Linked DNA regions of Diceros bicornis minor. The main gene of each other region encodes a partner of the protein of the gene in region 2 in a complex. Links are inferred from orthologs where the notes say so. Each region holds a gene or a part of one and is shown on either strand. Other genes may lie near its edges. The genes, in order: NEBL and XIRP2.

Region 1 (3,925 bases), on a different chromosome or scaffold from region 2:
AGACCAGTGCACTGAATTAAATGTGGGACACAATAGATGGGCACCATCATAGGTATAATGTAGTCTTGATTGGAACTGCATCTAACTTAGTGCAGTGATACGTCCCCTGTTTTATACCTGTTTTAGCTCCGTGATTGATACAACTTCAAATACACATCTTAGACAACCATCTAGTCGTGCAGACAATATAATAGACATATGAACTACAAATTCAAGTTCTTCTGCTCCATGCAAAAACATTGATGACACTGAGAATAAATCAGCAAGGTATTACTTAATACTTTTTAACTAAACTTCTAAAAACTTGAAATTTGATTTAGTCTAATACACAAAGTCCTTCCAGAAAGGGTAAGTTAAAATTTGTTTTTAAAATGATAGTACAAACTCTGCATTTTTTTGTTAGAAACACAAAAAGTAATTGTTCAGACTATTTATCGGTAAATATAAAAATTCTAAAAATTAAACCAGTATCTTCAGAAAGACAGAATTCCATTTGGAAATAAAATGTGAACTTGTACATACATATAAATAAATTAGGCCACAGAAATATGATTTAAATATTTAAGTAGTACAGACATTCTGTCACGCAACATAAATTTATAATAAACATTGTTTAATTACTCCCACTTGTTTGATTTCACCTACATGGGCGCCAAATAACATGGCTCCGGCTTTTGCAACATAGTAAAGGCCATCACCCTCACCACAAGGCTGGTTTTATAGTCACTGAGAAACAATGTTACCAAAACAACACCAACAAAATCACCTACTAACTAAAGTCGCTACTTTAGTTCTAATGATTTATATGACATAATTTAGCTCAGCCACAACTACACTTCGGTGAAATATAACAACGCTGGAGGAGGTACTATCTCTAGAGTTATGAAACTTAAGGTTTTCAACGGTATCATTACTATTACTAATACTAGTGTAATAAATAATACTAAAGCTAAGATACATTTTGCGTGGAAATCACAGTGAGAGGTAACACAGCACAGCGGCTAAGAGAGAGGGCCTTGTGTTCAAGCCCTGCCCCCCACTGCTTAACTGTGTGACCCAGGCAAGTTACTTAACCTCTCTGAGCCTTCATTTCTTCACCTCTAAAAGGGGAAAAACAATAGAATCTACCTCATAAGCTGCAATGCCTGGCAGACAGTACTCAATAAATCTTAACTGTGGCTGATATTATTGTTGTTGTTGTCATTTTATTATTATTACCACAGTTTATGAAGAACTTTCACATGCAGTAGCTTATGACATGAAGCAACTGCACAAAGAAATACTTCATTTAAAATTTAATTACATCACATGTCAAATACACGGGAAAGGGTATGATTCCCACCATCCTTTGGCTCTTTCCAACAAACCAGAGGGCAACAGAGAGTCATACATAAAACGTGATTGGATGGATATAAAAGTCATGTACAGATGTAGGGGTTAATAACAGCTAGCACTTCTTGAGTACTCACAATGTTCCAGACAGTTTACTAAACATTTCAGATGTGTTACCATCACTTAATGTTACTATTATAAACGCTGCCCTTGAGGAATGGAGTCTCGCCAGTTACAAAACCTGCCCACGGTTACTACAAAGTTGACTCAGGCAGGTGGACTTCAGAGAACATGCCAGCACGCTACCCTGCTGCCCAGGACTGACTTCCTTTGAAAACAAACATTTTTAAAATACTCTAATCACTTTGTTTATTACCAACAACGGAAACAACCAGTACCATGCTCGCCTCTCTAAATGGCAGGCACATACCCACTTCTCGTGAGCCATCTTTCCCCTGGACCAGCAATTCTCTTGCAACTGTTTTAATGAGGATCATCTACATTCTCATTCCTACTGAGGAATACTTTTCATTGTGCTTCTACAATTCTAGTTTACATATTTACTATAAATATATACATATATATGAGTTAAATAATTCTATCATTGTAGAACTCCCTTGAAATATAATATAGACTGATCTTGGTTACTGAAAAAAGTCACAACAAAAATGTTCCTTTTCACTAATATCATCATCATCTCATTCAGGGTCTTAACATGCAGTTCAGTAACCCATGAATCCTCAATCGTAAATAAATGTTAGATGCATATAGATATAAGCATTTTCCTGGTTTGGAAAACTGTTGCTTTCATCAGATTCCTCAAAATGTTTCCAAAATGTTAAAAAAAAAAAAAATCATTCATTTAAAGATCCCCCCCCAAACAAATTCTATCATTATATAAATTTTAAAAGGCTTTGGGGTTTTCAAACAAACTTGCTCTGAAATTCAATGTTTTATGATTTCATGCCAGAGTGACAGTGGACTCCACAAGGGACAGGATTCTGGATTAAGAACATGGAGAACTGCTCCCACAGAAATTCTCTGCATGGGTGACCTTGAGGAAATCACCTGCCATGTCTGGACTTAGCTCCATGATCTGGAAAATAATTATATTTGACTAGGTGATTTCAGGGTTTTCTCCCCAGCTCTGTGATTCTACAACATAACAGTGCCACACACACTACGCAAAATAAGGCAAACATTACTTAAGCCACTTACATCACTAATGAGTTGGGTGCATTTTTTGGCCAATTTCATCCTCAGGTCGTCAATAACAGGCTTAAAGAATACCTGCCCGGAAAAAAAGGAAACACTGTTCTAATCATCAACTTAAAGCAACACATACTGTTCCTCAGCAGGTGCCTTCCCACTCACCTCATCTTCTTCATTTTCTTCTTCCCCTGTTTTTTCCTCTTCAGTTTCATCTTTTACATCCTCGAATACAGGGACCTTCATTTTTACTCTTTATATGTATATATATATATTTGTGTGTGTATATATATATATATATATTTTTTTTTTTTTAATTCACCAGTGTAGCACCTTTCTATGTACTACAGCACCCTGAGATCTCAGAGTCTCTGGTGTTCTGGCAAGAATGACCTTGCCCAGGCCTCCTCCCCATTTAGCTCACACTTCACTCTCCTTATCACAACTGTGTGTGAGTGGATGGAACAGGATCGCAGAGTTCGGCCAGAGCTAGCCTCCCAAGTGGAAATAACATTCTAACAGGCAAATTTTAATTTTACGAACTTTGAAAGTCAACATTCTTTAAATTGGTTAAGAAATCCCAAAGAGACTATTTATTTATACTTCATTAATTCAATTCATTCATAAAATAGCTTGAAAGAGACTTAAAGATTCTGGGAACACTACTCCGCTGTAACACTCAAGAGAGCAGAGTCCACAGCCTGTTATCTCAAAGATTCCTCAACTCCATCTAAATAAAGCTTTCGCTGGAATGTCAGACATACCTCTTCTGATTTGGTATAGTGAATCTGGATCATTCAAACTCATTTCATTAACCTAAATTAAATTTTTATGAGACATACATATACTTTTCACATTCTAAAAAATACTCATATTAGCTGATTAAACGCTAGTAATTTATTAAGAAAAGCCCTTTGAACCACTTCAAAGAATCTATTCTGAGATAATCATGACTGTTAATCTTATATTGCTATTGTATTATTTTAATTGTAAACATCATTAAACATGAGAAGTTGCAGTTAACACAGGTTGATATATCACTTAAGAATTCTAGAAACATCATTTCAAAAAAATAATAATTATCCTCTTTCAATTCTGCGCATTGTGCCAATTTTTACAAATTCACTAGTTATTTGCATATTCCTCAATATGTACTACACATTTGGAAAAGTTTAGAAGAATTAACTATAACAATATGTATAATGCAGCATGTGTCATTGGTTATACAATTAAAATACATTTCATAAAACAAGTCCTTCAATTTCAATTTAGGCAATCCTAAGATGCTATGCAACTCATAATTTATCAATTTGGTTATTTAAATCCAAGGGTAAACTAATATTTATAAAGCCATAGCTTTATAAATAAAAAAAAAATACCCTAT
Region 2 (3,925 bases):
TAGGGATTGGCAAGTGGTTGTATTTTGTCAGAAATCCTCTAATTTTAACGTAACCTCATAAATATAACTTCATATCCCTTATTCTCGTTAAACCAAGTTGAGTTATTTGATGTATAAGCATGACCTCATTGTAACTACTATATATGTCCCAACAGGAAAACCGGGAGCAAGTATTAGCAAAATAATTTATTTTGAAAAATTTTCTATTTCTGTGAATCCTTTATAAAGACTAATTATCCATTAATAAGGGTAAGACTGCACCTTCCTGATAACTATCACTACGTAAAAAAATTAAAAAAGCATGGAGTTTGCTTCCCTATGGAAAACCTGAGATCATTTATTCTTTATGAATTTCAACCATAATCTCTTATGTAGGGGCCCTAATGAGTGTACAACATTCAAGCAATTCCAGTTTAAACAATAGTTGCTTTTAATTGGCAGCAGAAGTATAAATGTAGTCTTCATTAATAATATTGCTAATTCTGTTTCTTGGATTTGATTAAATACTCTCTTTAGCTAATAGATCTATTTTATATGTGACATTATAGTATACCATAATCACTGAGGCATGATCATCTACCACAAAATATTCTAGACTCTATGCTTACTGGTTTAAATATACTATCAATAATCTTCACAAGATCCCTGTTAAGTAGCAGATTAAGACGTCTGTATTTGAAAAGTTAAGTGTCATGCAGCTAGAGAAATAAATGGCAGGTTTTAGGATTAAAATCTGTTATTGTGGTTCCAGAGCCTTCACTTGTTCCATTTTGCCATCATTGCTGATAAATCCTCACTGAGCTCTAGTTAAATGCAGTACTATTTGTTAGAGATTTGAAGTATAAAGAGTGATAAGAAATTGTCCCTGCCTCTAAGGAACTTATAACCTAGTTGAGAAAACAGAGCATGTACATAAAGAAACATCAACATAAGAGGGACTATCAGAGCTATTTCTGCGGGAGTGAAAGGAGGTCAAATTCCCATCGGAACAAACCACAGAGGAAGTCAATAACAGAGGGTGCCACATTTCATACTATATTACATAGGTGCTTCAGGACATCTGTCTAGAGCACAGGTGAGGGAAAAAGCATTACATGCTTAGAGATAAATAGCAGGCTAGACAAGCTGCCTAGCTTGTCAACCATAAACCTCAACTCTCAATCAATGGCTCCTTACCTTTCGGCTGTACTCAGCCTGTGCGGCTGGGATGTTTCCACTCCTGGGAGCCTCGAACACACTCCTGAGCTCATCAAGGGCAATGGAGAAGCGCTCGATCCTGCGTCGACCGTTCAAGGAATCCCCCTTCAGCACTTCAGGCCGGCCATATTCCCTGGAGATGTCACTCTTGTCCTCAGGGCCCTTTTCTTCAGGCTCTGAGCTCAACATTTCTTCTCCTACACTGTGGGCCAGACTTGGATCTGGAGGTCTAGGTGCTGACACTACCTCTCCTTCAGGTTCAAGCAATTTGCTTTCTCGAGGCTGGAAGAGCCTGCAACGACTGCCCGTGGGACAACACTCGCTTTTCTGGCAATCACTGGATTCCCATTTCTGCCTCAGGAGGCTCAGGGAGCCCTTCTGCATTGGGAACACGGACGGCTTCTGGTTGTCCTGCAATATCAAAAGTCCTTCCTTCAAAGATACATTCAGGCGTGTGAATCATTTGCAAAGTGCTGTGTTTAGCAATGCTAGCTCTTGGGGTTTGTGTTTCAATGTAGAAATCCAGCTTTGCTATATAATTTCTGGCTCTTGACTTGACCCTACAAAGTTATGTCAGTTAACCCAGAATTAGACAGATTATGGAGAGGACGGATTTGTACAGCTATGGTTTTGTAGGAGGTCATCGAAAGGACGTGACCGCCAGGTGACCCTGAAGCTGGACCGAGCAATAGAAGCCTCCTCACTCCCTCCCCTGTCCTTGAAATATACGTTCTGCCCACCCTTCCCACACTAGGAGCCATTTCAAGGACCCAACCTTGAGAGAGTAATGTGCTGTTGAGACCATCTGGACTGAATACGTGACTGAACCCTGTTGAGACCTCTATATAAAGTTTTAAGATTCTGGCAGGCAGGTGCAGATATCTGCTCATCTTGCAGCCACCCAAGACAAGCCTCATATGTAAGTTCTCTTGCTTATTAAAACTGCCACCTACCAATCTGGAGTGATCTACCTCTTTCTTCAGTCTGTCTTTGCCCTCCATGTTGGGGATGGGGCCAGTCTCGAATTTTACCCAGGAAGCCACAAGGTTGCAAACCAACACATGCACATTTGAATATAAAGAGACAAAAACTAGGAAAATGTGATTTTCTTCCCATTTCCTTCTATGTTAAATCAGCGAACAATTACTTACAATGTAAAACTTGAACAATGTTCTTTCATTGTTTAGTATATTCTGAGAAAAGTGCAATTTTACAAGTCTAACACTCAAGAAAAGGGTTCATTTCCTATCGGAAATAGTTCAGGACTTCCTTAGAAATTATTGGTCTCTGCAAATGTCTTACTTCAGAAGTAAAAGATTAACAGCTAACAGTTATTAAGTTTTTGCTATAAGGCAAATGCTTTGATAATAACTTTATACATATATCTCATTTTAATACCAACATCATCACAATGAGTTAGTTGCTGCTATTTCTATTTTCCAGGTAAGGAAATTGAGAAGTAATTTGCCCAGGGTCCTGAGTGACAGAACCTGGATTTGAAATACATCTGTGTGACTCCAGAATTGCCCTCAACCACTGGAGTGTAATGTCTATTTTGTATTTTGTGTCCAATTCACATCTCATTGTGAAACTGATTAGAATCTCACCTTGTTTTAGAGTTTTGTGGTGAGTAGAAAAAAATCAAATGGCAAAATGTACTCATATCAGAAACATATACATCATGCGCACAAATCATAGGCAGCAAGAGTTACACACAAGCATGAATTTTTGCCATGGGAAGAGCTACTTTCTGTTCTAACCCAGAGATTCTATGTTGCAAATTTGGAGCTTTAAAAAATAAATTTTGCTCTTGAGAGATGATGCATTTTCCTGGAAAAGCATTAGTACAGTGGGTATGGTAAACAACCTTACTTAGATGAAGGCCTGGAAGTATCTCAAAAGGTCACCTAATACAATGGCTCCAGAATTCTTTGACTGCAAACCACATTATAAAAAGCATTTTATGCTTTAGGACACAGTGCACATACAACATTAATAAATATACACATATATACAAAAGAAACAAACTTTTGTTTTCATTGAACAATACTTTCCCTTACTACTTGAAATGTCTAGCGATATTTTCTACTCTGGTATCCTTCACTTTTAAAAAAAGGTTTGCTGCCCACTAAATTGATTTAATGGTCTACTAATGGTTCATGGACTGCTGGCTAGCTCTATACTTACAGCAGGAGTCCAATTCCAGGTTGGGTTTTACTAACTGTGTGACCTTGCAAAAGCTTCATTGGTAAAATGGATTTATATACATCATGGCTTTATTTTGAAGAACACATTAGATAATGCATATAAAATTTCTAGTGTGTATTAGACCTGCCAAAAGCTGTTAATTCCATTACAAGCCCCATCTCTGGCTAAAATAACATCATTTTGATCACTCAAATATTTCTTCTACACACAAGCCTACTAGATAAAAGTGGTTGGGAGAAGAAAGGAACGTATTTTAAGCCACAAATCCATAGACTGGACAGACTGGAAAATTTGGCTCTAATAATATTGCTAATTAATAAGTTTGGATTAGTCACTTATTATAGAAAGTCTCAATAAAACAGTAGCACAAAACAAGACCTGAATATCTGTTTGGGATACTGATCAGCATATGTTGAGAATTTAATCAGCACATGCTGGAAATGTCTGTGTCTCATGTGTATATGGACTTCAGAATAGATCTTATTAACAAGGGAATGGTTGAGACATTTTCGCAGCTGGT

The links.
Region 1: the proteins of XIRP2 (region 2) and NEBL are in contact, whole or in part, in a crystal structure (PDB 4F14), measured with the Homo sapiens proteins. The link is inferred for Diceros bicornis minor from reciprocal best matches to the Homo sapiens genes XIRP2 and NEBL. Residues at the interface, in NP_689594.4 of Homo sapiens: Pro2420, Pro2421, Pro2422, Thr2423, Leu2424, Pro2425, Lys2426, Pro2427; in NP_006384.1 of Homo sapiens: Tyr963, Asp964, Tyr965, Asp969, Asp971, Glu972, Ile987, Asp988, Asp989, Gly990, Trp991, Met1004, Pro1006, Asn1008, Tyr1009.

The regions. Positions count from the first base shown.
Region 1 is NC_080775.1:20,689,135-20,693,059, forward strand, and holds the start of NEBL (nebulette), read right to left. Parts: upstream 2,841-3,925; 5' UTR 2,788-2,840; coding exon 2,707-2,787; intron 2,623-2,706; coding exon 2,551-2,622; intron 1-2,550. UniProt on the Homo sapiens protein: Binds to actin and plays an important role in the assembly of the Z-disk. May functionally link sarcomeric actin to the desmin intermediate filaments in the heart muscle sarcomeres.
Region 2 is NC_080749.1:48,851,980-48,855,904, reverse strand, and holds the start of XIRP2 (xin actin-binding repeat-containing protein 2), read right to left. Parts: upstream 2,199-3,925; coding exon 2,151-2,198; intron 1,609-2,150; coding exon 1,177-1,608; intron 1-1,176.